Linked DNA regions of Callithrix jacchus. The protein of the gene in region 4 purifies or fractionates together with the protein of the main gene of each other region. This does not show direct contact. Links are inferred from orthologs where the notes say so. Each region holds a gene or a part of one and is shown on either strand. Other genes may lie near its edges.

Region 1 (5,740 bases), on a different chromosome or scaffold from region 4:
TTTCCTCAGACCAGTATTCTAGGAATTCATTTTGGGAAACACTGTTCCATAGATTTAAAAGCTCATCCCTTAAACTAATTTTTCTGAAAATATAGGACCACCACAAAGAAGCGTTAAAAAAATCGAGCTTTCAAGCCTGTAATCCCAGCACTTTGGGAGGCCGAGGCAGGTGGATCACAAGGTCAAGAGATCAAGACCATCCTGGTCAACATGGTGAAACCCTGTCTCTACTAAAAATACAAAAAAATTAGCTGGGCATGGTGGCACGTGCCAGTAATCCCAGCTACTCAGGAGGCTGAGGCAGGAGAATTGCCTGAACCCAGGAGGCGGAGGTTACGGTGAGCCGAGATCGCGCCATTGCACTCCAGCCTGGGTAACGAGCGAAACTCTGTCGCAAAAAAAAAAAAAATTTGAGCTTTCTAGGCCTTAACAAAGTTTATTTCCTTTCTCTTTGTATTAAAGGAAGGTTTTTTTCCTTGGTGTAAAGTCAGTACATGAGGCCAAAAAACTAGATTATGGATTTTTAAAAGTTTGTGGCAAAGCAGTGTTTCTCAACCCAGATGCATGTTAGTATCACTGGAGACCTTTAAAAATTAAAGATCAACATCCAGGTACTACCTGTCAGGGAGTGGGGTCTGAATACTGAATATACTTTTAACAATGCCGATGATTCCAATGTCCAACAGAATACGCTGAAGTATAAAAGACCCAGGAGGGTCCAACTAAATTAAAATTTTAAAAAGCTGCTGGTAATGGTTTCAAGTGTTAAATTAAAAAAAAAAACAACTTTATTTTCTAATCTGGACAGTTCTCCAAGTGATAAGAAGAATATTTAAATTCAGACTCAAGCAAAATAGTGTATGCAAAGATAAAAGAATGCCTAGGCCAGGCATGGTGGCTCATGCCTGTAATCCCAACACTTTGGGAGGCCGAGACAGGTGGATCACCTGAGGTCAGGAGTTCAAGACCAGCCTGTATGGTGAAGCTCTGTCTCCGTTAAAAATACAAAAATCAGCCGGGTGTGGTGGAAGACACCTATAATCCCAGCTACTCGGAAGGCTGAGGCAGGAGAATTGCTTGAACCTGGGAGACAGATGTTGCAGTGAGCCAAGATTGCAGCACTGCACTCTAGCCTGGGTGAGACTCTATGTCAAAAAAGGAAAAAGAGGGGCCTGGCGCAGTGGCTCAAGCCTATAATCCCAACACTTTGGGAAGCCGAGGCGGGCACATCACAAGGTCAAGAGATCGAGACCATCCTGACCATCATGGTGAAACCCCGTCTCTACTAAAAATACAAAAATTAGTTGGGCGTGGTGGCGCATGCCTGTAGTCCCAGCTACTTGGGAGGCTGAGGCAGGAGAATTGCTTGAACCCAGGAGGTGAAAGTTGCAATGAGCTGAGATTGTGCCACCACACTCCAGCCTGGCGCCTGGCAACAGAACAAGACTCTGTCTCAAAAAAAAAAAAAAAAAAAAAGAATGCCTAATACTTTCCTTATCTAGTTAATGGACTTTTAATTTGTATAGGTAGAAGCCTCCCTTTTTTGTATATCAATTAATCCCCTGTGATAATACATGCTGGATTTGTATGTTCCAGTCAAGTTCCATCACATATAGAAATGAACTAAAATTACTAAATCTTTTAGAAACAAAAATCAAGGATTCACAAACTATGGCATTTTATTTCAGAGCCTTTGCTTACATTTGTACAATATATTACATAATTCTTCATTGTTTGCAGATCCTAATATATACTTTATAGCTTTTATTCTATAAGCTTTTTCTTCAACATTTTGCTGTCAACAAATCTTTACAGTCCTGTACAAATTTGAATAACTTGAAACCATTTTCAACAAAATTAGTTACTGTAAGCACACACTACAAGACTGAAATGCTTTTCTTAGAAAAGTTGAATGTAAAGGATTCTGACACGTTAGCATCTACAACAAAACGCTTTGAAATTCTCACATGTCGTATTGCCAGAAAACAAATAAAACATGCCAGCCCCATCCAAAAGAAGTACACAGAACTACAATTAAAACAGTAAAACAGTCTGTACAATAAAGTACTGTGTATTAACAGTGCCAGGTATTAAATAGCTTGAATGAACACATCCGCAATATACAAATGTCTTACAAAGGTGAAGAATTAAATACAAGTGCCAAACAGAACAGAGATTGGAATCATACAACATAAAGTCAATACAAGTGAAAACAATTTTGCATTCATTTTGGATTTTATACAAGGCATTTAATTTTATAGGCCGACCACTTCCATTAGCTATTTATATTTAAAATAACCACCATCCTTTTGAGACAGTTCATATCAACAATCTTGAACCATACTAATACATTACTTGTTCCTGAAGTCCTTTTGTTGTAGCTCATAATAAAATAAGCAATACAAATGAATTATCTGTATTTAAGGGAAAAGAAACATTTACAAGAAAACACAAAAATATAACTGTTATAATTCATTATGAATAAATATACACTTTGAACTGGCTAAGTACAATCTTTATACATTAAGATTTAATACAGTTTATTAGCCATTTTCTTTTTTCACACAATTATATCAAAATTAAAAAAAAATACTGATTTATAGAAAAATGGCAAAGTACAGTAGTTCCATTCCAATTTGAAGGGGCATGAAAAGCCACTGCAAGACCTTTTAGCCTAATTCAAACCTGTAAACATGTTCAGTCTTTTTTAAAGAGAATCTTTAATATTTGGTTACCAGGACTGATGTCTAATATCCTGTTAACTGCAGGTTTTGAATTTATTACATGTGCTTGACTTATACAATTAAAGCCACCCTAAGGTGACTTGCTTTAAAAAACAATTACCTTGTACAAATGAAAATAGGTTCATATTTTTTCATAAATAAATGGAAAAATATCAAATGTTCCAGCTTTAACAAAATACAAGGGAATACATATACAGTAAGTTATCTTAACATGTTCTGGCCCACCCCTTAACTATGCTTACTGTATTGTCTCTACAGGCAGTGAAAAGCCTCCATTTGCCACAGTGGAAGGCCTTCAAGTTACCAGACACACAATTCCCAGACAAGTTGGAAACAATTATTGCTTGAGGAAAAGCAGTTCATTGTACTTTTTCTTCATAAAAAAGTGCACTTAAGTGCCAAGTCAGCTTGTCAAGAAACAATTTTTAAATATAAAATAGTGCTTGTCTGATATTTTTTTGTGCCACTGTGCAGTATAAAAAAAAAAGTGGCCCTCAACAGCCATTAAGTGCAAAGTGCTTTAGCAAGTCCTGCTGTCACCTGCACTCAACTGACATTCCATTTTGTGATGCGCTGGACATTGATGGTTCAGCTAAAGTTAACATAACAGCAGCTGTTATGGAACTGGATGAAGGTGAAGAAGAGGATGAGGATGTAGCAGCACCTAAGGAAAAGGGAGACCAAACCAAGAGCTTAATACAAATGTATGTCTAACAACAGAAAATACTAGTCCTCTGAACTAAAATTCTGTTGTATTCTCCAAAATCATTTAGCTTACAACAGTGGTCAGTTCTCACAGTACCACGATGTAAAGAGAGGAAAAGCTAGTGTATAGCTCAGGTAGCTAGACAGTGCCCAACTACAGAAGTAATGAAAGGGACAGACCAGGGAAGGCTCCTGAGTGGATCAAAGAGGCGAAAAAACTGTGCCTGGTCTACAAGATACAGAAAAAATAGAGAATATACTTTTTTTTATAAACAAATATCGAAACAGGAAAAATCTGCAATCCAACCAAAAATCTGTTTTCCCCTCCTAATCCCTCCATCTTTCTGTACTTGATGTTTTCTTGTAATATAAATGGTGACGAGAATCAGAGGCTTAATTGCTTCTTCAAGTTGGATCAAAACAATACATAGCTCAACTGTTGCATTCTCCTCTACTACGTTTACAAAGCAAATAACACATTAGTTATTTTCCTCAGAGAAATTTTCTCACTGTTCCTTTTTGTTTGTTTTGTTTTTTTCACATGGAGTCTTGCTCTGTCACCCTGGCTAGACTGCAGTGACACGATCTCAGCTCACTGCAACCTCCGCCTCCTGGGTTCAAGTGATTCTCCTGGCTCAGCCTCCCAAGTAGCTGGGACTACAGGTGTACACCACCAAGCCCAGCTAATTTCATATTTTTAGTAGAGACAGGGTTTTGCCATGTTGGCCAGACTGGTCTCAAATTCCTGACCTCAGGTGATCTGCCCACCTGGGCCTCCCAAGTGCTGGGATTACAGGAGTGAGCCACCACACCTAGCCTCTCTCACTGTTATAAATTAGTTTTCATAAAATAATTTTTTTTTGAGACGGAGTCTTGAACTGTCGCCTGGGCTGAAGTGCAGTAGTGCGATCTTGGCTCACCGCAATCTCAAGTGATTCTCCTGCCTCAGCCTCCTGGGTAGCTGGGATTAAAGGTGCCCACCACCACACCCGGCTAATTTTTTGTATTTTTTTAGTAGAGACAGGGTTTCACTACATTGGCCAGGCTGGTCTAAACTCCTGACCTCATGATCTGCCGGCTTTGGCCTCCCAAAGTGCTGGGATTAAAGGCGTGAGCCACCTCACCTAGCGTCTCTCATTGTTATAAATTAATGTTCATAAAATAATATTTTAAAATAAATATATGTACAGATTTTTTTTTTCTTTTAGATGGAGTCTCCTTCTGTTGCCAGGCTGGAGTGCAATGGTGTAATCTCGGCTCACTGCAACCTCCGGACTCCCTGGTTCAAACAATTCTCTTGCCTCAGCCTCCCAAGTAGCTGGGATTACAGGCATGTGCCACCATGCCCAGCTAATTTTTGTATTTTTAGTATAGATGGGGGTTTTACCCTGTTGGCCAGGATGGTCTCGATCTCCTGACCTCGTGATCCACCTGCCTCAGGCTTCCAAAGTGCTGATATTACAGGTGTGAGCCACTGCGCCCAGCCGTACATACACAGATTTTAAAAATTCATTCAGCACAGGGGTAATAAGGTAGAAAAGTGTATTTCCTTCTCATCTAGGAACCTCCTAATCAATCAAATTCCCCTCCCCACTATTACCAGTTTCTTCACATTTTTTAAAACTCTAGAAGAAAGGCTGACAAATAACTGCCCCAGGGGCAAATCTGGCTTACTTGACTTTGGAAAGAAAATTCTGTTAGAACACAGCCATAGCCATGCCCATTTGTTTACATCCTGCCTATGAGAGATTTCACACTTACCATGGCAGAGATGAGAAGTTTCTACAGAGACCATATGGCCCACAAAGCCTAACATATTTATTATCTCTTTACAGAAAATTTTTGCAACCCCTGTTCTACAGGAATTTTATCTCTAGAAACTAGAGAGATGATATGCAAATTTAAAATATGTAGATAACAGCACACCTTTAAAAACACAAGCGGAAGCATAGTTCAGTGTCTTCTTTTTTAATTTAATAATGTTTATATAAATTTTTTTATAATGTTTTTTTGGGGATGGAGTCTGACTCTTGTCCAGTCTGGAGTGCAGTGGCACCATCTCAGTTCATCGCAACCTCCACCTCCTGGGTTTAAGCGATTCTCCTGCCTCAGCCTCCTAAGTAGCTGGGATTACAGTGCCTGCTACCATGCCCAGCTAATTTTTACATTTTTAGTAGAGACGGGGTTTTCACTATGTTGGCCAGGCTGGTCTCAAATTCCTGACCTCAGGTGATCTGCTCACCTTGGCCTCCCAAAGTGCTGGGATTACAGGGGTGAGCCACTGTGCCCGG
Region 2 (5,997 bases), on a different chromosome or scaffold from region 4:
TGAACTAACTAAACACATACCAAGATATACCAGGATAAAAATTACAAAACCATAATAAAAATAGATGCTTTCCCTCCTGACAGACCCCAAAACACTTACAAAGTTAACAGAGAGAGTGCCTTTCCGTTGTCTCATTTGCATGTTGAATGCGTCTGACCTGTTGGTAACTTTTCGTCTTCGGGTGACCTCATCTTTAAATAAAAAGTTATACAATAATAGTAAAACCTAATGTTGAGAGCTTACTATGAACAAGACACTATTTAAAATTACTTAGTTAAAATTGTGTAACTAGTATTAGTATATATTTCTAATAGTATATCTAGAGGTAGATATACTATTTATTATCTCTCACTGAAGATGAAGAACCTGAAGTACAGTGAAGTTTGTAACTTGCTCAAAATCACACAGCCAGGCAGATTTACGATTCTAATCCAGTCACATAAGCTCCAGAGAGCTTACCCATTAATGCTATATTTGTATGCAGTACATTCTACATACAACTTGTATGTATTACTTGGAGGACTCCCAAATTATTCAAGGACTAATTTCTAACACTGTTGCCAACCAGTACTGTAATTACAAAAATAACAAAGTATTTAATTCTTAAAAAGGAAATATTGTTATAATGTATTCAGTAAGTCTTATTACATGGGATGTTTTGAGAGAGATGGAACAATATTATTTAATCCTCTAGAGTTCAGTCCACAATCTGAATTGTATGACTTAACTACACATGTAAGTACATGGTAATTAATATTTGTGACTATAGCATTTCATTACGTTCTTATATAGTCAAAACATATCCAGCCTAATCTTTGTTAAACAGTTTTAAAATTGACATACATAGAATAGTGGAACTTGATCTCTGCATGAGCAGTTCTACCCACAAAAAGCTTTCCAACATGTAAAGCTGCGAGTACTAGACTTACTGAAGAAAACAGTTTATTCAAATGAACAGTCATAATGTATCAAGGACAATTATTTCAATAATCAAAATTATGGTTAGAATTTTAAAATTCTAAGTATCCCCCAGTATATGTTGATACTAAGAGTTAAAAGCTTTAGATCACTAGGTAAGAACCATTAATTCTACCATTCTCTCATAAATCAGCCTTTAGAAACTGTAATACATTTCTGTATCATATACTTCACATAAAGGAGAAAAATTATCTCTTCCAAAATCATAAAAATTCAACATAATATTGCTCTTCACATCTTAAATTTAAGATATCTGGCATTTAAAATGTGATTTGCCTAGAAACCACACTGCAACTTTACAATTCTTAAGAATTTCCCAGCACAGACGGCAATTCAAGTATCATATGAATCTTTTTACAGCCATATTGAACCTTATCTCTTTTCATGACCAAATAACAAATTTTACCTTCTTTATCTTTTGTTCCCATTGCCAGGCCCACAACCTTGGGCCCAGCCCCAAAAATCTGAAGTTTCTTCAGCTCTGTGTTTCTATTCACATCTCCAGATTCTGACTAAAAAATAAGCAAAATTCACATTAACATCATTGTGCTAATTCAGGCATTTATTTTTGCTACCCAAGAAAAGTTTCAGGATCATCTTCAAAACAAAAGAACAAATTATTGGATTTATTTTCTGTAAATCCACTCCCTGCCTCATTACCACAGTCGAAAACAGTCACCAAAACACTGTGCAACACTCAGATTGTTTTCCACAAAATAAAATTCATCTATGACTCATAAAAGTATAGTTGTCAAGCTGTCTAAAGACAGACACTGCTGGTTATCACACAAGAGAAATCCCCACTTCTAACTTGCTACTGGGCACCTGTATCTGATTAGAGGGCATCTCAGGGCGTGAACTACAACTGTCCTAAGTCAATCATGCTAGCCTCATTTTTCTTTGTTGGTGATGACCAACAAAGTGGTAGGAATGTGATCCAGTTCTAGCCTGTGAGATATTAAAAATTGTACTGGAATCCCCCCGGAAAGACTGTCATAAACAGGAAATTGCCAGGCACAGTGGCTCACAACTGTAATCCCAACACTTTGGGAGGCCAAGGCAGGATCATTTGAGCTCAGGAGTTATAGACCAGCTGGGCAACATAGGGAGGTCCCATCTCTACAAAAAGTACAAAAATTAGCCAAACACAGTGGTGTGCACCTGTAGCCCCAGTTACTCAGGAGGCTGAGGTTGGAGGATCACTTCAGTTTGAGAGGCTGAGGCAGTGAGGCAAGATCACACTGCTGCAGTCCATCTTGGGTGACAGACGAGTGGGACATTGAATCAATCAATCAATGGGAAAGCTTCTCCCAGCCTGGGCAACACAGTGACCCCACCTCTACCAAAAAAAATATAAATTAAAAATTAGCTGGGCAAGGTGGCACACACCTCAAGTCCTAGCTACCCAGGAGACTGAGGCAGGAGGATCACTTGACATCGATACCTGAGACTTAACACGTCTTGTTCTCTTCGGCAGAATGTTCACTCTTGTGCCCGGCTCTGGGGAAGTGTGGGTATCAGTGCTGAGAACCTCAGGCTCCACTTTGTCTTTAAGATCTAAATTAGGCATCTGTACACCCTAAAAGATCAGAGAACAGAAAGAGAGCAGGTTCACTGATAAGAAATCATGCTTCAGAATCAGTGGAAAAATAATAAATTACCAGATCCCTAAAATTCCTAAAACAAGACTGCAATTATTTCTCAAACTGACCTGCAGCTATCCCTATCAAAATCCTGGCAAGCTTTCTGTTGTTATTGAAATTGAAAGCTGATCCTAAAATTTATGTGCAAATGTCAGTTGTTTAGATATTTTGGAAAAGAACAACAAAAACTTACGCTATGAAATATCAAAATTTAGCATAAAGCTGTAGTACTCAAGACAATGTAGTACTAGTGTTAGCGTAGACATAATCAATGCAACGAAACAGAGCCTAAAAATAAACCCACACTTCTATGGTCAACTGATTTCTAACAAAGGTGGTAAGTTAAATCAGTGGGAAAAAGCCTTTTAAACAAATGGTGCTGGTACAACTCAATATTCATATATTCCCTTCCCCACTAAAAAATAAACTTACATCTTTACCTCACACTACACACACCCAAAAAAAGCCTCAAATTGCATCACTGATCAAAATATGAAAGCTGAAACTATGAAATTTCTATATTAAAGCAAAGAAGAAAATCTTTGTGACTTTGGAAAAGATTTCTTAAATATGACACCAAAAGTACAATCCATAAAAGGAAAAAATAAATAAATAAATGGTTCTTCAAAAAGTCACTATTACAAAAATGAAAAGATAAACCACAGAATAGGAGAAAAGCTCTACAAATCATTTACCTGATAAACAACTTGTAGACAAACTATATAACAAACTTACAAGTATAAGAAGACAAACAATACAATTAAAAAAGAAAATCTGATCAGGAACAAACTCCCATTCACAATTGCTACAAAGAGAACAAAATACCTAGGAATACAACTAACAAAGGATGTAAAGGACCTCTTCAAGGAGAACTACAAACCACTGCTCAAGGAAATAAGAGAGAACATAAACAAATGGAAAAACATTCCATGTTTATGGTTAGGAAGAATCAATATCATGAAAACGGCCATACTGCCCAAAGTAATTTATAGATTCAATGCTATCTCCATCAAGCTACCAATGACCCTCTTCACAGGCCTGGAAAAAACCACCTTAAACTTCATATGGAACCAAAAGAGAGCCCACATAGCCAAGTCAATTCTAAGCAAAAAGAACAAAGCTGGAGGCATCATGCTGCCTGCCTTCAAACTATACTACAAGGCTACAGTAATCAAAACAGCATGGTACTGGTACCAAAACAGAGATATAGACCAATGGAACAGAACAGAGGCCTCGGAGGCAACACCACACATTTACAACCATCTGATCTTTGACAAACCTGACAAAAAGAAGCAATGGGGAAAGAATTCCCTGTTTAATAAATGGTGTTGGCAAAACTGGCTAGCCATGTGCACAAAGCAGAAACTGGACCCCTTCCTGACACCTTACACTAAAATTAACTCTAGATGGATTAAAGACTTAAACATAAGACCTAACACTATAAAAACTCTATAAGAAAACCTAGGCAAAACTATTCAGGACATAGGCGTAGGCAAGGACTTCATGACTAAAACACAAGAAGCATTGGCAACAAAAGCCAAAATAGACAAAGGGGATCTAATTAAACTCCAAAGCTTCTGCACAGCAAAAGAAACAATCATTAAAGTGAAGCAGCAACCAACAGAATGGGAAAAAAGTTTTGCAATCTACCCATCTGACAAAGGACTTACATCCAAAATCTACAAAGAACTAAAACAGATTTACAAGAAAAAAACAAATCCATTCAAAAGTGGGCAAAGGATATGAACAGATACTTTTCAAAAGAAGACATATATGAGGCCAAAAAACATATGAAAAAATGCTCATCACTGGTCATCAAGGAAATGCAAATCAAAACTATGTTGAGATACCATCTCACGCCAATCAGAATGGCAATCGTTCAAAAAATCAGGAGACAACAGATGCTGGAGAGGATGTGGAGAAATCGAAAGGCTTTTATACTGTTGGTGGGAGTGTAAATTAGTTCAACCATTGTGGAAGACAGTGTGACAATACCTCAAGGACCTAGAAATAGAAATTTCATTTGACCCAGCAATCCCATTACTGGGTATATATCCAAAGGATTATAAATCATTCTATTATGACATATGCAAACGTATGTTCATTGCAGCACTGTTTACAATAGCAAAGACTTGGAACCAAACCAAATGCCCATCAATGATAGACTGGACAAGGAAAATGTGGCACATATACACCATGGAATACTATGCAGCCATAAAAAACAATGACTTCGTGTCCTTTGTAGGGACATGGATGAACCTGGAAACTATCATTCTCAGCAAACTTAAACAAGAACAGAAAATCAAACACCGCATGTTCTCACTCATAGGCGAGTGTTGAACAATGAGAACAGATGGACACAGGGAGAAGAGCATCACACACTGAGGTCTGTAGGGGGCACTAGAGGAAGGACAGTGGGAGGGTAAGGAGTTGGGGAGGGATAACATGGGGAGAAATGCCAGATATACGCGATGGGGATGGAGGCAGCAAACCACATTGCCATGTATGTACCTATGCAACAATCCTGCATGCTCTTCACATGTACCCCAGAACCTAAAATGCAATCAAATATACATATATAATTTAAAAAAAAAAAAGATCTGTTCTGGAGGAAAGTATAATAGAAAAAAAAATCTGAACAGACACTTCACCAAGATATACAAATGGATAATATGAATATGAAAACATGCAGCCAGGTGCAGTGGCTCATGCCTGTAATCCCAGCACTTTGTGAGATAGAGGCGGGCAGATCACAAGGTCAGGAGTTCAAGACCAGCCTGACCAAAATGATGGTGATATCCCATCTCTACTAAAAATACAAAAATTAGTCAGGCATGGAGACACACGTCTGTAATCCCAGCAGTACTCAGGGGGCTGAGGCAGGAGAAGTGCTTGAATCGAGGAGGTGGAGGTTGCAGTGAGCAGAGATCTTGCCACTTGCACTCCAGCCTGAGCAACAGAGCAGACTCCATTTCAAGCAAAAGAAAAAAGAAAAAAGACATCACTAGTCATTTGAGAAATGCAAATTAAAACCACAATAAGATATCACTATACAACTAACCAGAATGACTACAATTTTAAAAAACTGACAATACCAAGTGTTGGCCAAGATGTAGAAAAACTGGAAGCATCTGTATTACTGGTGGGAAAGTAAATGATTCAACTACTTTGGAAAACAAATTGACAGTTCTTAAAAATTTACACACTCCAGGCACAGTGGCTAATGCCTATAATCCCAGCACTTTGGGAGACAAAGGTGGGCGGATTGCTTGAAATCAAGAGTTCCAGACAAGCCTTGCCAACATGGTGAAACACTATCTCTACTAAAAATACAAAAATTAGCTGGGCATGGTGGCATGCACCTGTAGTACCAACT
Region 3 (5,997 bases), on a different chromosome or scaffold from region 4:
TAGGCTCATATTTAAGGTAGCCAAAATCCAACAGATTTTACCACTGCAGCATATTCAAACTGCCCTGATAAGTGAGTGGAACTCTATGTGAACAGCAAAACTTCAACGAATGAAGTAGGCTCCCAACAATATGTGAGAAACCAAAGCACAGTAAACGTTTCAGTGAAGGTCAGTGTGGCACTGACTCACTTTACAAGAAGATGCAAACTGCGCATGTACAAAAACCTCTGAGTCCTTTATTAACGTCTGGAGATGTGTGGTACATACAATTAACAGCATCACACCAGCTACAGAAGTACAGATAATCAAGATTGTACTTCAGAACAAGGATCTGAGAGCAACTTATGGTGTTGCCTGCTCTGAACCTCCACAAAAACCCCATTCTGACACACGCAAGACAGACGATATAACAATTTCACACGGGAATGGTTCTTTTAAAAAATGACAAGAACTAATAGTTCAAACCCTTTAGAGTGTGAGATGTGGCAGCTTGCTTGGTGCCGTGGCACTGCTGTAAAAGGCCAACATGGGCATTTGAAGGTCAGGCAGAAGAACTGAATAGGGTGGGTGGAAGAGGTTTCATTTTCAGTGTAGAGAGATAACAGATGGTCCGAGTGGAGGCTTTCAGTCCAGGCTCGGTATGGGGCCTGCAGGAATCCACTATATAAATACAGTCTATAAACCGGACGGCTGAAAAACACCAGCCAGCCATCCTTGTCACTGCTTCCAACTGGTGGACACTGACGCATCCGAAGTCACTTAGGACATAGAGCAGAGTTAACAGGGGTGGACCCAAACGCAAGAAGGTGGCTCACTGTGTCCAGTCAGCTCTGATCCTTTCATGCCACTGGGTGCAATGGGTCCCTCTCCTTTCACATATGAATGAAGGAACACTTCCTTTGTTTCAATGTTCCACTTTGGAAATAACCAAAACCCTCCCCCCACCCCCACCATCATTCTTCATAAATTCTGCTTCCAATCTCCCGATTCTTCTGGGTCTAGGCTTTTTCCTTTCGCTTCAATTTTGACACTTTTTTGACAGTCCCATTCTTGTTAAGAAGCTTCAGGACGCGGTCTTTATGATCTAAAACCTTAAGCATGGAGTCTCTGGCTTCACTGATTTGATCCATCACAAGTTTACATCTCTGCATATTTCCCTGAAACAGAAGACATTACATCATTAATCAGTGACCATGAGGATAGTACAGCTTTTAAAAAACTGCTTGCCTTTGGGCAGAGGCTATGTTGAGGCTTCCACAGAGAGAAAATGTCTTCTTGTTTCTCAATAGTGCAGGCTGAAGCACATGTTTTTACTGATGATATGAGAGACACAGGGGGAAATGGAAGAAGTAGGGCTTTATAGAAAGCAACTTCATAAAGTGGATGATCAGAAGGAAGGGGCTAATTCAAACCTGTATCAGTTCATTTATTCGGTGGAGATCATCATCAGTTGCTGCTTTTTTCTTTGGGATAATCCCTTCCTGTAGGTTGGTAAGTCTTTCATAGACATCATGTTCAAGATTCGTCTGCAACACACAAAACGGAGGATATCATGACCTCAGAGATATTTTTCTATGTCAACCCCAGGCAAATGAACCCACCTTGAATCACTTATGTAAACTGTTTAGAGCTGTTTGGGTGACAACGTCCTTTCTCCTAAGGACTAAGATACTAAGGTTTAAAAACAGTAAAGGGGCTGGGCACAGTGGCTCACACCTGTAATCCCAGCACTTTGGGAGGCCAAGGCAGGTGGATCACTTGAGGTCAGGAGTTCGAGACCAACCTGACCAAAATGGTAAAACCCCATCTCTACTAAAAATATAAAAAACTAGCTGGGTGTGATGGCGCATGCCTGTAATCCCAGCTACTTGGGAGGCTGAGGCAGGTTTGCTTGAACCCAGGAGGTGGAGGTTGTAGTGAGCTGAGATCGCATCATTGCACTCCAGCCTTGGCAACAAAAGCAAATCTCTGTTTGAAATAAATAAAATAAAAACAGTAAAGAAAACTGATGAACAAAGATTTACATTATAATTTGCCATAGTTGAGAGTCTACCTTCAAAGATAACTTTTGAATACTGCCTTGAATCCACAATTCTTCTGAAAAACAAGTCTCCAAGTGTCATAGAAATGATTTTGCTAAGTCAAAAACAGCCAAGGCACTACATTTTTTAGATACTGAGAACAATGTTCTTCAGATCACTGCTACTGAAAAGAAGGAAAAACTTTTTTTGAGATGGAGTTTTACTTTTTTTGCCCAGGGTGCAGTGCTATGGTAAGATCTTAGCTCACTGCAACCTCTGCCTCACTGGTTCAAGTGATTCTCCTGCCTCAGCCTCCCGTGTAGCTGGGATTACAGGTGCAAGCCACCACGCCCGGCTAATTCTGATTTTTAGTAGAGAAGGGGTTTCTCCATGTTGGTCAGGCTGGTGTCAAATTCCTGACCTCGGGTGATCTGCCCACCTCGGCCTCCCAAAGTACTGGGATTACAGGCGAAGAAGGAAAAACTTTATGAGGTTGTTGCCTCCTCTTCACCCAGTTGCCGAAGGAGGGATTCTTGCCCTAGGATTATAGAAATGGCCAAACATATAAGATCCAACACTGGACAGATAAGATTAACAGTTTATGAGTCACAAATATAGTCATGCACTACTTCATGACAGAGATATATTCTGAGAAATGTGCCTTAAGGCAATTTAGTTTTTGTGTGAACATCATACCACATACCTAGGCTATATGAATAGAGCCCACTGCTCCCAGTTACAAACATGTACACCACATTACTGCAATAAATAGTGTGGGAAATTGATGTATTTATGTTAAGTATTTGAGTATCTAGATATATCCAAATATAGAAAAGATACAGTAAAAATATGGCCTGACAGATCAAGAATGGTACTCCTATACAGAGCACTTATTACAAATGGAGCTTACCAACACTGTTAAGTTGCTCTGGGTGAGTCAGTGGTTGAGTGCGTGAATGTGAAGATCCAAGACCTCACTGTACAAATACTGTAGGCTTTATAAACACTGTGTCTTAGGCTTCACTAAATTTATTAAAAATATTCTTCTTCAATAACAAATTAACTTTAGCATACTCTACATTTTTTACTTTATAAACTTTTAAATTGTTTTAAACTTTTTGACTCTTTTGCAATAAAACTTAGCTTAAAAGGCACATTGTTGAACAACTTTGGACACTGTTGGATGGTTATGAAAAATATTTTCTTTCTTTATATCTTTATTTTATAAACTTTTTCTTCCTTTTTTATTTTTGAGACAGTGTCTTATTCTGTCATCCAGGATGGAGTGCAGTGGCACGATCATGGCTAAGGGCAGCCCCTGTCTTTTGGGCTCAAGAGATCCTCCTACCTCAGCCTTCCAGGTAGCTGGGACTACACCTGGCTAACTAAAAAAAATTTTTTTTGGTAGAGACAGGGTCCCACTATGTTGCCCAGGCTGGCCTTGAACTTCTGGGATCAAGCAATCCTCTTGCCTCAACCTCCCTAAGTACTGGGATCACATGCCTGAGCCACTGAACCTGGACTTGTTTTTGCTATTAAAAAAAAATTTAACTTTTAAAACTTGTTAAAAATGAAGACACAGCACAGCCTGGGCAACATAGTGAGACCCCGTCTCTATAAAAAATTTTTAAAAATCAGCTGGGGCCGGGCGCGGTGGCACACACCTGTAATCCCAGCACTTTGGGAGGCCGAGGTGGGTGGATCAGAGGTCAACAGATCGAGACCATCCTGGTCACCACTGTGAAACCCTGTCTCTACTAAAAATACAAAAAATTAGCTAGGCATGGTGGCGCATGCCTGTAATCCCAGCTACTTAGGAGGCTGAGGCAGGAGAATTGCCTGAACCCAGGAGGTGGAGGTTGCGGTGAGCCGAGATTGCGCCATTGCACTCCAGCCTGGGTAACAAGAGGGAAACTCCGTCTCAAAAAAAAAAAAAAAAAAAAAATCAGCTGGGTGCCATGGCTCACATCTGTAGTTCCAGCTGTTTGGGAGGCTGAGGTGAGAGGATTATTTAAGCCCAGCAGGTCGATCATGGCTGTAGTAAGATGATCATGCCTCTGCACTCCAGCCTGGACGACGACAACAACAACAGAAAAGAACAGGAGAGAGGGAGAGGTATGCTCTGGTCTCTGAAGGATGATGTGTGTGACTGGCTTATCTGAGTACTATTGGAATACTGGAAACTGGCAGGGAACTGGAGCCTACTACTCAGTGAGGAGCAGGAATTGTGTGCCTGGTCCCTGTGGTGTAAGGATTATTTGCCTAGGAGACTTCATCTGAGGGAGCAGAGTGGGGAGGAGGGCCTCATGGTTAGGCCATTTGAGGGTCCCCCTATTTCAGATGTCACAACACAGCACATACCACTGAATCTTAAACTTACATCTTATACCACAGTTGTTCCATATATTTTGGATCTGGGTACCAGAACTCAGATATATTTCAGTTATAATCACATGTAACTGACACAGTGATTATATTACATAGCACATGTAAAAATTCTACCATTACCCATGTTAGCTGGAAATGCTTCAGAGTTACTTTTAAAAAGTTCATGAACTCGGCTATCTCCAGTGTCTTCTCCTCTCTTCAGCATGATGAACAACTGCTAGAACTCCACTTACCAGCTGTAGTAACTGGGCGGCACAGAGGTGAACTTTCCAGCCTTGAGCACGACAGGATACTCCTTTCTGATTAGCTATTTCCTGCAGCATAGCTTTCTTCTCCTCTGTAACCATAAAAAATAAAAACAAGTATATTTCACTGTTTCAAATGGTAAATGGTTTGTGTTCAAGCAGCCTAAATGCCATTATTTTAACAAGAATTTAGGTTTTTTTTTTTTTGAGATAGTGTCTGGCTCTGTCACCCAGGCTGATGAGCAGTGATACAATCTTGGCTCACCACGACCTCTGCCTCCCAGGCTCAAGCAATTCTCCCACTTCAGCCTCTCAGGTAGCTGAGACTACAGGTGTGCACCACCATGCTGGGCTCACGTTTGTATTTTTTGTAGAGATGGGGTCTTCCTATGTGCACAGGTTGGTCTTGAACTCCTGGCTCAAGCAATTTGCCTGCCTTGGCCTTGCAGACTATTGGGACTACAGGCATGAGCTACTGTACCTGGCCATAAGAACTTCTTCACTTGAGGTAGTGGTTTCATTTGCGGGGGGAGGCAAGCCAAGAGGACCCCAGGCTGCTTACTCCCCTCCTTCCCCTCCACTAAGTGCTACCTCCTAAAGCAGGGCTGTCACTCAGAGAAAAGCTTGCCACATGCCAAGCCAGGGCCTCCCCCATCTCTAAGGCCCTGGCTCAAACATTTTGCCAGAAGAAGTGGGCTGTAAAACAGATACCTTTTAATTTCTTCCTGAAGCAACTGAGTCCATTTGCAAACGTGTGAAGAAGTTCAGACCTAACAGTGCTCCCAAGAACAGTGGAGGCTATGGTGAAGGGAACTGGGGAGAGATTTGCGGAACTAATGAAGATATAGCTATGTGCAGGCTGGTTTGAAGGAAAGAACAAAGTATAAAAGAGCTGTGGGAGCCTTTCTGAGGGCAGAACAAATATGGAACACTGGTATCAGAAACTATTCTGCCCAGGGAACTACAATTTGACTGAATTTGTTTTATAGAGGAACTTGTGCTTCAGGGCAGTGTTGAAAACATTAGAGAAGACAGGCAGCCATCAGTAGCTTTATCAGCTGGGTAAGGTGAGGGAAAGAGTGGAGGAAACAGCCTGGTGGCTCATGCCTGCAATCCTAGCACTTGGGAGGCCGACTCAGGGGTAGGGGTGGGGGAATACTGTTTGAGCCCAGGAGTTTGAGACCATCCTGGGCAACATGGTAAAACCCCATCTCTATAAAAAATACCAAAATTAGCTGGGCATGGTGGCATGCACCTGTGGTCCCAGACATTTGGGAGGTGGAGGTGGGAGGATCGCTTGAGCCCAGGAGGCCGAGGCTGTGGTGAGTCATTATCATGTCACT
Region 4 (6,692 bases):
ACAGCATTCCGGCTCTACAGCGTGCTCTCATGGATGCTGCCATTGCAAATGAGCTGGGCTTTCACCCGCAGTCATGATTGTTCCAGAGTTTAGTCTTGCTTAGACTTTTACGGTCTGAGGCACAAGCCCTATGTCTGGATCTGGTGGCTCATTTGCAGACAGGAAATGGAAGGCTCTTCAGAGTTCAGCAGCCACAGACTTCCAAGCTTCCCTTTAAAACTGAGACTCGGCCAGGCACGGTGGCTCATGCCGGTAATCCCAGCACTTTGGGAGGCCGAGGCAGGAGGATCATGAGGTCAGGAGTTCAAGATCAGCCTGGCCAACATGGTGAAACCCCATCTCTACTAAAAATACAAAAAAATTAGGCGGGCATGGTGGTGTGTGCCTGTCCAAGCTACTCAGGAAGCTGAGGCAGGAGAATCGCTTGAACCTGGGAAGCAGAGGTTGCAGTGAGCTGAGATCGCACCACTGCACTCCAGCCTGGGTAACAGAGCAAGACTCCATCTCAAACAAAAAAACAAACAAACTGAGACTCTCCTTGGCTTTCAGAGACAACAGGCTGATGGTAGAGAGGGTCTTGCACAGAGAAGCAGCAAAATTTACAGGCACCTGGCACATGGAATTAATATAAAAGCTGCTGCCACGTTACCTTTCAGTGTTCTCTTTCCAACTGACTGCAGAGTGTCAGATCCCTAACTGGGCACTCTAACATGTCTTCCATCAGAGGAGAGACCTACCAAGTGCTTCCAGCAGTAGATTCTGACACTCCCTGCTAAAATTCTGGGGGTGAGGACTGGAGGAGGTTGGGAGAGCTGGTTCATTTATACAAGCAGTTCTCAACAGGGGCACTTTTCCCCCAGGGAGACACCTGGCAATGTCTGGAGATGTTTCTGGCTGTTAGAACTGAGTGAAGGGCTGATGGATGCAGGCTATGGATGCTGGCTGCTAAACATCCCACAGTGCACTGGGAAGACCCCAACAGCAAAGAATTATGCCCTAAATGGCAATAGTGCCGACGTGGAAAAAAATGACAACGGTCATCTTACAAAAGGGAATCTTAAACAGGCTTTCTTTTTCTCAGAGGAGCTGGTGAGCTAAAGGATAAAGAGACATCAGAGATAGAAGGAGCAGTGAGCCAGGCCCAGTGGCTCTCTCCTGTAATCTCAGCACTGTGAGAGGCCAAGGTGGGCAGACTGCTTGGGGCCAGGAGTTTGAGACCAGGCTGGGCAACAAAGTGAGACTCTTTCACTACAAATAAATAAATTAGCTGGTCGTGGTGATGCACACCTGTAATCCTAGCTACTTAGGAGGCTGAGATGGGAGGACTGCTTGAGCCCAGGAGGTAGAGACTTCAGTGAGTTATGATAGGGCCACTGCGCTCCAGCCTGGACAACAAGTGAGACCCTGTCTTTAAAAAAAAAAAGGCTGGGTGCAGTGGCTCATGCCTGTAATTCCAGCATTTTGGGAGGCAGAGGAGGGCAGATCACTTGAGGTCAGGAGATCAAGACCGGCATGGCCAACATAGCAAAATCACGCCTCTCCTTAAAATACAAAACTTAGCCGAGCATGGTGGCCTGTAATCCCAGCTACTCAGGAGGCTGTAATCCCAGCTACTCGGGAGGCTGAGATAGGAGAATTGATTGAATCTGGGAGGTGCAGGTTACACAGAGCTGAGATCGCACCACTGCACTCCAGGCTGGATGACAGAGCCAGACTCTGTCTCAAAAAAATAAATAAATAAATAAGAGGGCAGCACCTCTCACCCAAGAAAGAAGGAACCAAAGCAAAGTCAGGAGTCCCAACTGAGCTAATGATCCTATTGACAATCCCATGAAACATAAAACTGGCTGTTCTCACACCATCTCAACCACTTTATTTCACAGGTGGCTCTGAGAGTGATCAGAGGTAGACGACCACATGAGCAAGTACAAGGGCAAGCCTGCCTGGTACACTCGCTGGGAAAGCCTCAGGCCCAGATCTCAGACTTCACACAAAATTCTGCATTAGGAGGATACCTCCCTGACATCCACTCTTGATTTAAATCTTCCCAGCAGATCAATTTGGGAGGCAGAGGCTGCTTGTGTAGGTGTTTCCGTATCTATTTTGATTTGTGCTAGAAGCAATGAGCATGTCTAGAAAAAGAACGGATGTTAAGTGGCTTTCTAGCAATGACACAAGAGAGACACGTGGCCCAACCTGAGTAGCAAGATATACGCGGTGAAGGCTGAGAACACCCGAATCACTGTAGCGGCATACCTGGCATGTTAGAGGCGACTGTATGTTTAACTTCCCGTTCTTGGGAATGTCTATTCTGTATCCGAGGGGAAGAAAAGCATTGAATCCAACAATGAGGTCAGGGTGCTCGTGGAAGAGCTGAGAGACACGTCTGATGACTCCAGGAGTATCGATACTAGAAGAAACAACAAGAGTGGGTCTTGGGAAGCAAATAAAAAATGAAATCTGTTCCCTACTCCCTTGATACTGCCACATAACAACCTTCTCCACAGACAACAAAGCAAGCTAATATGATCCACCAGGCACAGTGGCTCACACCTGTAATCCCAGCACTTTGGGAGGCCAAGGCAGGCAGATCACCTGAGGTCAAGAGTTTGAGACCAGCCTCGCCAACATGGCGAAACCCTGTCTCTACTAAAAATACAAAACTTAGCGAGGCATGGTGGTGCGTGCCTGCAATCCCAGCTACTGAGACACAAGAATCACTTGAACCCAGGAGAGAGAGGTTGCAGTGAGCAAAGATTATGCCGCTGTACTCCAGCCTGGGCAACACAGTGAGACTCCGTCTCCAAAAAAAGGTGCCCCTGAGATAGCATCTGTACACCATGATCTATTTCCTGAGCAGCTAGGCCTGAGCTCCCTGTGCCCTTTTGGTGAGAACCAGAAAATACTGACATTGCTCAGCTCCCGCAAAACACTCCACGAATGAGTACTGGGTTCTGAAAATGTCAGGAGAGCCAACCGCAAGTCCTGGTCTCCAAGAAGTGGCAGGAGGCCTAAGTCCTCTAAGCAATGTGAAAAATTCCCTCATTTCATATCAGATGGGGATGACTATGACACAGGTTTCCATCTGAGCAAACGACTGCAATGCATAAACACCAACGGTACAGCCAAGTATGGGAAAAGTGTAAGATAAATAGGAGGGGAGAGATGGGGTCTCCCTCCGGGCTGCATCACAGCCCTTAGCACTGGGCTCCTGGAAGGAGACCAGGCCAGCCCCACCAAAGGGGGCAGCAGCATGGTAGGGATGTAACCCGAATGCATCTGAGTCAGAGGGTCTGAGTTCTAGTGCCACCTCTGCCACTTAGGTGGATCCCTTACCCATTCCAAGTCCCATTAAGCCTCCTACAAAAACAAGTGCATGATCCCAGGGTTTCCCATCTATCTGTAATCCTCCTTGATTCTGGGCCTGCAAAATCAGCTCATGTGTTTTAAACGTTTTCTGTATGCCAGCTCCCTTACTAAGCATTTTATGCGTCTCACTTCCAAGCAGGCCTGGGACTCCGGTGAGCCCAGAGAAGCATGCTGAGGACAAGATTAAAGAGGAAGAGGGTGCCAAAAATTTCAATCACCAAGACTTGAAAAAAAAAATCAAAATGGGTCCCACCAAATCTTTCATGAACAAAACTTATTTAACAATCAACATATTAAATCAAGGCAGGATTCGACTCTATGAGTGTGCACGGCCTCGCCTTCCCTGGCTCCCTCCAGGTCCCTGCCCTCCTTTCAGGAATCCCCACGAAGCTCCACAAAGTGGGTACTACCCATTTCCATTTTTGTTACGAGAAAGAGCTAAGGCTCTGAGAGATTCGACAACCCGCGCAAGGTCACCCGGCTAAGGGGGCAGCCTGGAGAGGGGAGGTCCCACCCCGCTAGGCCCGATTCCGGCCAACGGGGGTCCCCCGAGGTGGAGAGGGGCCCCGCGGGTACCTCTGGCTTTTGAACTCTTTCATGATCTCCAGGAAGCCGTTGTAGGTGGCGGGGTCGCTGCCAAACCGGATCTTCACCTGGTCCAGATAGGTGAGGGCGTCTTCAACCTGCAGAGCGGGGAAGAGTCCCGGTGGGCCGGGGCCGTGGGAGGAGGGAACGAGGGGCTGGGATCCCTGGAGGAGAAGGGAACAGGCCGGACCTTCGGAGGGCCAAGGTGAAAGGTGAGGAGTGAGGGATCGGGGACCGAGCAGAGGGGAGTCTGAGGCGGGGCCGGGGCCAGGGCCGGGCGGGGCCTGGGTGAGGGGCGCCTGCCCGCGGAGTCCAGAAGATGAGGTCCCCAAGGGAGGGCGGGGATGCCACTCACGTGCACCGGCAGTTTCTCGTGGCCCGCGGAGCCCGAGCGTCCCCAGCGGGCGCCACTCAGCCCCCGGCCCGCGGGGCCACCACTGCTGCCGCCGCCGCCAGCGTGCGCCATGTTCGAAGTCGGAGCTGCACCCCGCCCCGCCCCCGCCCGAGGGCCTCCCGCGCATGCGCAGCCTCCGCCTTTGGAGGCGGGGTTTGATGACGTTAGAGGGGCGGTGTTCTTTGAGGGTCTCCTCTGAGGATCTTCTTAAAATTGCTCTCAAACCTAATTAACGATTTATATAGCAGGCGGTAGGCGAACCAAGGCCCGCCGGTTTCTTGGTCTGGCCCCGAAAGCTCAGAATGATTTTTACATGTTTACATAGCTGGGGGAAAAATCCAAAGGAGAAGAATAGTCTATGACCAGTGAAGAAGTTTGTGAAATTCACATTTGAAGGTCCCTGAATAAAGTTTTATTGGCACACAGACACGCCTGCCAGTTTACCTAGGATCTCAGCCTGCTTTTGCACAATAGAGTAGCTAGTTGCTAAAGATCCTACAGATCTGCAGAACCTGATGTATTTACAATCTGGCCTTTTATGGAAAAGGTCTGTGGGCCCCTGCTTTATAGAGCTGATGGGACAATGAAATATGAGCACCCAGCGCCCTAATACAGGGCCTTGCATGGTGAATTTTTGCTAAACGGCCTTTGAGTTAGTCCTAATCCTCCATTTTCACTTCCCTGTCCTTGGTCCCATTACTTCCCAGCTGGACCAGTTTAGGAGCCTCCTAACCCTGGAACTTTCTCAGCCCTGGTACTCTCAAGAACTCCAGGCTGAGGGTGGTGGCTCAGGCCACTTTATCTAGGAGATAAAGACAGGAGAAATGCTTGAGGTTAGGAATTCAAGACCTCCTGGGCAGCAGAGCAAGATCCACGTCTCTACTAAAAAAAAATTGAAAGTGAATAAATTAGCTTGGCGTGCTATGAACTCGCCACTACACTCCAGCCTGGGAAGCATAGCAGTGTTTTTTGTTTGTTTTAGAGCATCTCACCTCAAAAAAAAAAAAAGAAAAAACAGAAAAGAAAAAACTCAGGCCAGGTGCGGTGGCTCACGCCTATAATCCTAGCATTTTGGGAGGCCAAGGTGGGCAGATCACGAGGTCAAAAGATTGAAACCATCCTGGCCAACATGGTGAAACTGCGACTCTACTAAAAATACAAAAATACCGTGTGTGGTGGCGCGCGCCTGTAGCCCTAGCTACTCAGGAAGCTAAGGCAGGAGAATCGCTTGAACTCAGGAGGTGGAGTTTGCAGTGGGCCAAGATTGCAGCACTGCACTCCAGCCTGGTGACAGAGACTCTATCTCAAAAAAAAGAAAGAAAAAACTCGGTTCATTCCACCACTGCTTCCAAACCTCCAAGGTCTTCCTATTTCTTTGTGTGTGTGTGTGTGTGTGTGTGTGTGTGTGTGTGTGTGTGTGTTGCCCAGGCTGGTCTTGAACTCTTGAGTTCAGGCAATCCATCTGCCTTGGCCTCCCAAAGTGCTGGGATTACAGGCGTGAGCCACCTCGAAAATTCTGCAGGAAAAGGTTTCTAAAAACCAATTCTGACAGCCTGCAGTGTAGATGCTTATGAAGCAGGAACGGCATGGAACAAACCTATCAAACGCCAAACTGAGGAAGGAAGTGGCTTTTTTATTCAGCTGGGAGTTTCGAGGGGCAACAGCCTCACTCACTGAGCTCCCCAAACTGCAGCTTCTCTCTCCTTTTATAGGCTTACACCGCTAAAGGGGAAGCTGAAGCGGAACTATGTCATTGTCCATTTGCTGGATGTCTGACCTTACAATCTTTTGGCTTCATTTATTTGCTAATTCATATGCAGCGTGAGTGGGGACCAGCATGGGAGGGGGCTTACAGAGACAAGACAAAAGTAACAAGCCATTTGTTGGCAAAGGTGTTTCCAGGAGGGCACCTGTTTTGTGGAGATGTGGGGGCGTGAACCAGTGCCGGGCTCCAGCCGGCAGGGATAACATTCATTTGCAGCTCTTTCAAGGCTAACAGATAGCAGAGACGCTGGGAACTAAAAAGGGAGTCATTTCCCCAGCTCTTTGGTATTTTATTTCATTTTTTTTTTCCTTCTTCACCCTCCTTCCCATCTGGAAGGGAGGGAGGGAGGGAGGGAGGAGGTGAAATTGAAGGAGGCAAGGGGTCTACCCTCTCACTTAGATTTCATCTCATTAGAGATAGGGAGACCTGTCTCTAATGAGACAAGCACCTACATTGCCGACTGTCAGAATCTGTCCTTAGGAACCTTTTCCTGCAGGATGTTCCACCCAAGCAAACTGCTTCTGGGCAGAACCTCACACCATTGCCTGACTGACCTGCCTGCTTCCTGGCCCAAAGCAT
Region 5 (6,591 bases), on a different chromosome or scaffold from region 4:
CCAATCCTGTCTCTGTCCTCATTCTTCAATGCCATCACCCTAATGGCTCACTCTTCCATGGTTTCACACTATACAATCAGCATTTTAAGAACAATTCCTATAATCTACACTAAAAAAATACTTAAGATCCTCACATCATATTTCAGTAGGCTTCTTCTCCTCCCACTTCAGTTCTAGATGAGATGTTTTAGTAACAGCCACTTGCCAGGCGCGGTGGCTCACGCCTGTAATCCCAACAATTTGGGAGGCTAAGGTGGGCAGATCACCTGAGGTCAGAAGTTCAAGACCAGTGTAATCAACATGGAGAAACCTCGTCTCTATAAAAAAATACAAAATATTAGCCAGACGTGGTGGTGCATGCCTGTAATCCCAGCTACTCCAGTGGCTGAGGCAGGAGAAAGGCTTGAACTTGGCAGGCAGAGGTTGCGGTGAGCCAAGACCATACCATTGCACTCCAGCATAGGCAACAAGAGCAAAACTCCATCTCAAAAAATAAAAAATAAATAAAAATTATAGCCGCTTATGGTGGAAAACAGCTAAGAAGGTAATAAAATGTATCATCATCACACCTTATACAAATATAGAGTAGCAGAGACCTTTAAACTAATCCAATATTTTAGTGGCACATTACCCACTAGGCCCAACTCTTCCTTCAGTAACTACAAAATATTACCTTGTAGAAGATTGATTCTGCGGTGATTATGGTGGAAACTGACTCAGGAGCTTTGATGGGCTATGAAAATACAAAAAAAAAATCAGCACATTCATAGTATGTATGTACAGGCATTTTCCCAGCTCTATGAGAGTTCTGTAATTTGAGAAATACTAAAATGTAATTGTTTGGTGACAAGAACTACAATAAAAAGATAAATATTTTTCTGAATGTTGTAGTAAAGCAGTCTCAGTATTTCCACTCCAATTTCTAAGACAAAGGACAAGCTTCTGATTATGCTGCTGAGATCTAATGCAAAGTCTTCTCAGAGCTCCACTACACATAAACATTCCAGTTATAAAAATATACCTGTTCTAATAGCCTGAGCATGACAGAATGCAAGTAATAAAGAATGTACAGGTGAATACAAAGTGAAAAAGTGTCTCCTTGAAGACATTTTCCAATTCAACTATGGAACTAGCCATAATACTCAACATCAATTTTCTAGCAAGCTGGAACTATGGCTTTAGAAACTTCAAGAATTCTTAGTAATTTGCCACCATCCAACCACTTTTGAAATCTCTACCAAAGGTACAATACATATTTTTATGCCACAACATAGAAACTAGACCTCTCCAGATCTGTCTTGCTTGGTTCCATCGAAGAAAGTGGTTGCAGAGAAATAATAATAATTACTGCGAACATGGTATACCATACTTAAAAGGAAAAAAATGTGTATATGTGATACAAATATAAATAACATGTTTTATGTAATCAACAAATGCCTCACTTAACTAAGTTATAAAAATCTTAAATAAATTTGAAGCAACTACTCTGAATAAGAAAATACTTTGGAGGGGAAAATATCACATACTGGGTTTTGTCGGGGGTGGGAGGTAAGGGGAGGGAGAGCATTAGAACAAAAATCTAATGCATACAAGGCTTAACGCTAGATGATGGGCTGATAGGTGCAGCAAACCACCAGGGTACATGTAAACTATGTAACAAATCTGCACTTTCTGCACATGTATCCCAGAACTTAAAGTAAAATTTAAAAAATAAATTAATTAAATTAAAAAAGAAAATACTGTCATTTGCATAAGTCTCCTGCAGGGTTCCTTTGTGTTTTAGAAATATGCCCAACTTCAGAAATGTCTTAACTGGTAAGTGAAACACTCCTGTTCTGAAAGAAAATATCATACTGAGACTTAAAAAAATAGTCCATAATGCACTGTCCACTGTGTCTGACCATTATTCCTTCTTTATAAAAAGTGAGAATTTAATTTCAATAAAAATATGCTTTCAACTATTTCCAGCACAGGTCTTTCAACAATCTCTTTTCTTAGAGCAGAAGAGGAGATAAGGCTAAACAAAATTTTTGACTCATATTCATCAAATCCATCATCATCAGAAGATACATTTTCTGGGGCTTTTATAACAAATAAATATGCAAATGATGAGTTCTAGTATTAATGTTTACTTAAATTTTTAAAGAATGGAAAAAAAAGTTTTCTTAGTGTACCTGGCCATATTAAGAACCACAATCTCTCCTCTTCCTTTGCATAGAGAACCCAAAAGAATGGGCTCAAGGTTGGTATTTATTATTTTGAGAAGGAGTCTCGCTCCGTCGCCCAGGCTGGAGTGCCATGGTGCTATCCTGGCTCACTGCAAGCTCCGCCTCCCGGGCTCAAGCGAATCTCCTGCCTCAGCCTCCTGAGTAGCTGGGACTACAGGCACGCACCACCATGCCTGGCTAATTTTTTGTATTTTTAGTCGAAACAGAGTTTCACCGTGTTAGCCAGGATGGTATCAATTTCCTGACCTCATGCTCCGCCCGCCTCAGCCTCCCAAAGTGCTGGGATTACAGGCGTGAGCCACCGCGCCCGGCAATATTTCTTTTAAACCCGTATTTTATATTTTCCAGGGGAAAAAGTAAAAGCTAAAAAAAAGGAAAGAGTATTTATTATTAACTTTATAAAAAGTGAGCCTCCTGCAACAGAGCTCATTCCCTTTTGGGGAGTCTGGACTACCCTCAAAATACTGAAGAAGGGCTTCCAAGGGCAGAGTCCAAGTTCAGTGGGGAGAAATGAAGGCAGTGGCAAAATATACACAACATCATTACAGTAAAAGGCACTGTCAACAAACATCTTACATTTTTCAATTTAAATATGTGTCTTCTCCCTTTTCCTTTGGTGGAAACTTTCTTTTCAGCAGCCGGAGCAGATTTGTATTTAGTGTTTCTGAGCCGAGCAGACCTCCTGTGAATTTCCTGCTTACTCTGTTATACAAATTAAAGAACAAAAAGAGAAAGTAAAAAATGTAGAACGGTTGCAGTCCCGGTACAACCATCTTACAAGGATCCTGGAGTATGCACCTTATAAGAGCATTTAGCGATTAAGAGTGCGCCTTTGCTTTTCAAACGGGGTAATTACAGTAACTGGGCTAAAACTACAAGTCCAGCACGCCGAATCTTGGAGCTCGCTGGACATGCCTCTACAGAGCCTCCCAAAGGTGTGAGCTGCTCATAATAGGGCACGAGGCAGGAGGAGGAGTCAGTCTAGGCCAAGACAAGACCTATTGATTTGTTGTGCCTACAGGAGAAAAACACTTAACTTTACTCCCTAAGGCCAGAGAAAGTGTTAGGTTATAGCATCCTCTACAATGGAATACTTAAGCTGCCATTTACAATAATGACAATAATCTTTACTTCATAACCTGATATGACAAAACCTTTATTAACAAGGAATGAGGTCCTGCATCTGTGGCATGACCCTGTTTACGACTGTGTAGACGTGCATATACTGAGATTTTCAGAAGGGCTTTACATTTTCTTGCTTCCTTATGCTTTAAATTTCTTACAATAGCAGGTGCTTCGGAATGCGCCAAACCAAAAATCTCAATAGGAGGTGGAGAGGAGGCGTCCCAGCCCGGCAGGAGCATCGCAATCCGGGAAGCCCGTACCCGCCCGCTCCCCCGCCAGCCCGGTCCCGGCCCGCCTAGCGCCTGTTCGGCCTCCGCCGGCGGGAGAGGCCGGAGGAGCTCACCTGCTTGCCGCCCCCGCCCCCGTTGCTCTGCGGAGGGGCGGCGGAGGTGCTGGCAAAGGTCGCCGCGCCGAAGCCGCCGCCGCCGCTGCTGCCCCCAGTCCCTCCGGCAGCCCCCGAGCCGGTAGCCCCGCCGCCCGCGCCGCCCCGGCCCGTGCAGTGATGGCAGAGGATCTCCCCCTGCGCGCCCTTCTTCCACATGGAGGACGACGTGGTCTTGCAGACGCTGCAGGTGGGCTTCAGGCCCAGCGGCATGGTGGCCGGCTCGGGCGGCCCCCGCGGGCGCAGAGACACGGGAATGGCGGAGGCTGGCCCGGCCGCCCACTGGTCGGCCAGCCACTCCCGGCGATAGGAAGAGCTGTGAGGCCGACGGCACCGAGCTGCACGTGAAGGGACTAGGCCGCGGCCGCTGCCCTCTGGAGGCGGGAAGCGGGTTCCGCCAGCTGTGCCGGCTCAGCGCCCAGCATCAGCCCCTGGAGGCCTGAGGCACTGGGAAGCAGGACGGACCAGACCGGCGAGGAACGCCGGGCAGCGGCCCACGGAGACTTCCGGCGATGAGCTGGCCCCAGGGCCCCACAGCCCGACTGCCTGACCGGAAGTGCAGCACCCGGAATTACTGGGAACTTGCTGCAGTTCCACTTTCTGTCGCTTAGGGGCGCGGTTCTCAAACTTTTTGGTCTCAGGCCTAGAGTTTGCTGGGTAAAATACGGAACACCCAATTAAATGTGGCTTTCAGGTAAACGACGGATAATCTTTTTTTTTTAGCACGGGTATCCTATGCAATAATGGTTTATCTCAGACACGTTTAACTGGGAGTCCTGTATTTTTATGTGCTAAATCTGGCAATCCAGGCCTGGCGTGGTGGCTCCTCCCTGCAATCCCAGTAATTTGGGAGGCTGAGGCGGGCCGATTACTTGAACTCAGGACTTCGAGATCAACCTGCCCAACATGGTGAAATCCCGTGTCTATTAAAAATACAAAAATTAGCCAGGCGCAGTGGCGGGCTTCTGTAATCCCAGCTATACTGGAGCTGAGGTGGAAGAAGAGCTTGAGACGGAAGGTAGAGGTTGCAGTGAGCCAAGATCGCGCCATCGCACTCCAGCCTGGGTGACAGAGTGAGTTTCCAAAATAAATAAATAAATAACTGACAATCCTACTCATCTACATCCTCCTATGCCCCCCGCTCCCCCCCCCCCCCCCCCGCCCCGCCATTCTTTTGTTTAGGTGAATTCAGAGCATGCCATTTACGGACATCAACAAGAGGTTCAGAACATGTCATCCACTGACATTTATGTATTAGAAATTGATATTGAGACATTTTACAGCCTAAGATGTCAGGTACACATTCTTCAGCCATTAAGCAATATCGTTGTATGTGCTGTGAGACTCTGAAGAATATTCCAATTGGAGAATGTGAAGAAAATTGAATAATTGGTTTAGCATTGTTGGAAAACAGTTTTGGCTCTGAGCGCCCAGCAGTTGACAAATAGCTGGCCTGGGACAAGCATAGGATGAGAAGCCAGATCGCCTTTCTTAATGTCATTAGTCAGTACAGGTCTTGCCAGAGAAATCAGTCTCCTTCTCAGCCTCTCTTCATGATCCTGGGTTTCCTAGACTTAGTATCCTTGGAAAGATCTTGATGAATATACTGGGTTGTGGGGTGGGGGGAGCAGTGAGGAGAAACATTAAATGCCTATTTTGTCACAAAACCACATTTTGTGCTTCTGACAACGTTGGAATGAGATATTATTCCGATTTTACTGTTAATTGGTGATCAACAGAGGCACTTCTGTGTGCACTGGATGTCATTATAGCTGCTGCCCTTGGCACCACTTTCGAGGAGGGCTTTGGAGCAGCCCCCTAGGGTGTGGGTTGTGGCTCAGTCATCCTCCCTCTAAGTTTCAGTTTTCCTAACAAAAATAAGTTTCTGCCGGGCGCGGTGCCTCACGCCTGTAATCCTAGCACTTTGGGAGGCTGAGGTGGGTGTATCACTGGAGGTCAGGGGTTCGAGACCAGCCTGACCAATATGGTGAAACCCTGTCTTTAAAAAAAAAAAAAACAGGCTGGGAGTGGTGGCTTAAGCCTGTAATCCCAGCAGTTTGGGAGGAAGAGGCGGGTGGATCACGAGGTCAAGAGATCGAGACCATCCTGGTCAACATGGTAAAACCCCGACTCTACTAAAAATACAAAAAATTAGCTGGGCATGGTGGCGCGTGACTGTAATCCCAGCTGCTCAGGAGGCTGAGGCAGGAGAATTGCCTGAACCCAGGAGGTGGAGGTTGCGGTGAGCCAAGATCGCACCATTGCACTCTAGCCTGGGTAACAAGAGTGAAACGCCGTCTCAAAAAAACAAAAACAAAAACAAAATAAGTTTCCAGGACTGTTATTTGGATTAAAGCAAACTGTAAAAGTGGTTGAGGAGACTAGGTAAAGAGTGTTGTCTCATTTTAGAACAATGCTGAAGGTCTTTAGGGCCTGCCATCCCAAAATATGCCACTCTGGCATATTGATTCCTCTGAGCTGATGGCAATGGAGCAACAACAGATGCAGGGAAGGCTCTCTGACCACCCTCTTTCTGTTTGAAGCAGAACATAAAAGTTCCCTTGTGCAAGGTGCCCTTTCTATACCAGGAAGAGAAGAATATTCTTATTGCCAGAGGCAGAGCTGCCACTGAGATAAATCTACAAACAAAACCTTACAAAACTTTGTAACCCTTATTTTCCATTAGTTTCTCACATACAGTTCTCACATACTTTTCCACAATTTACCGGCCTTAGCCTAAGCTCCTTTGTCTTGTCACATCCCTCCATGCAATTTATTATTCTTTTTTTTTTTTTTTTTTTTGAGACTCTCGCTCTGTTGGCCAGGCTGGAGTGATCTCAGCTCACTGCAACCTCT

Evidence for each region.
Region 1: the proteins of SIN3B (region 4) and ARID4B purify together in Homo sapiens (affinity purification with mass spectrometry; 3 studies listed by BioGRID and IntAct, with this or other methods). This does not show direct contact. The link is inferred for Callithrix jacchus from reciprocal best matches to the Homo sapiens genes SIN3B and ARID4B.
Region 2: the proteins of SIN3B (region 4) and KDM5A purify together in Homo sapiens (affinity purification with mass spectrometry; 4 studies listed by BioGRID and IntAct, with this or other methods). This does not show direct contact. The link is inferred for Callithrix jacchus from reciprocal best matches to the Homo sapiens genes SIN3B and KDM5A.
Region 3: the proteins of SIN3B (region 4) and SAP130 purify together in Homo sapiens (affinity purification with mass spectrometry; 3 studies listed by BioGRID and IntAct, with this or other methods). This does not show direct contact. The link is inferred for Callithrix jacchus from reciprocal best matches to the Homo sapiens genes SIN3B and SAP130.
Region 5: the proteins of SIN3B (region 4) and GATAD1 purify together in Homo sapiens (affinity purification with mass spectrometry; 5 studies listed by BioGRID and IntAct, with this or other methods). This does not show direct contact. The link is inferred for Callithrix jacchus from reciprocal best matches to the Homo sapiens genes SIN3B and GATAD1.

What each region holds. Positions count from the first base shown.
Region 1 is NC_133520.1:50,065,873-50,071,612, reverse strand, and holds the end of ARID4B (AT-rich interactive domain-containing protein 4B), read right to left. Parts: intron 3,409-5,740; coding exon 3,281-3,408; 3' UTR 1,662-3,280; downstream 1-1,661. UniProt on the Homo sapiens protein: Acts as a transcriptional repressor. May function in the assembly and/or enzymatic activity of the Sin3A corepressor complex or in mediating interactions between the complex and other regulatory complexes.
Region 2 is NC_133510.1:13,544,694-13,550,690, forward strand, and holds part of KDM5A (lysine-specific demethylase 5A), read right to left. Parts: intron 2,558-5,997; coding exon 2,423-2,557; intron 1,491-2,422; coding exon 1,385-1,490; intron 192-1,384; coding exon 100-191; intron 1-99. UniProt on the Homo sapiens protein: Histone demethylase that specifically demethylates 'Lys-4' of histone H3, thereby playing a central role in histone code. Does not demethylate histone H3 'Lys-9', H3 'Lys-27', H3 'Lys-36', H3 'Lys-79' or H4 'Lys-20'.
Region 3 is NC_133507.1:36,456,346-36,462,342, reverse strand, and holds the end of SAP130 (histone deacetylase complex subunit SAP130), read right to left. Parts: intron 4,747-5,997; coding exon 4,643-4,746; intron 2,560-4,642; coding exon 2,461-2,559; intron 1,527-2,460; coding exon 1,413-1,526; intron 1,158-1,412; coding exon 999-1,157; 3' UTR 217-998; downstream 1-216. UniProt on the Homo sapiens protein: Acts as a transcriptional repressor. May function in the assembly and/or enzymatic activity of the mSin3A corepressor complex or in mediating interactions between the complex and other regulatory complexes.
Region 4 is NC_133523.1:15,436,940-15,443,631, reverse strand, and holds the start of SIN3B (paired amphipathic helix protein Sin3b), read right to left. Parts: upstream 4,444-6,692; 5' UTR 4,421-4,443; coding exon 4,310-4,420; intron 4,053-4,309; coding exon 3,946-4,052; intron 2,411-3,945; coding exon 2,257-2,410; intron 1-2,256.
Region 5 is NC_133512.1:57,172,891-57,179,481, forward strand, and holds the start of GATAD1 (GATA zinc finger domain-containing protein 1), read right to left. Parts: upstream 4,234-6,591; 5' UTR 3,949-4,233; coding exon 3,697-3,948; exon of another isoform or gene 3,561-3,696; intron 2,931-3,560; coding exon 2,805-2,930; intron 734-2,804; coding exon 674-733; intron 1-673. UniProt on the Homo sapiens protein: Component of some chromatin complex recruited to chromatin sites methylated 'Lys-4' of histone H3 (H3K4me), with a preference for trimethylated form (H3K4me3).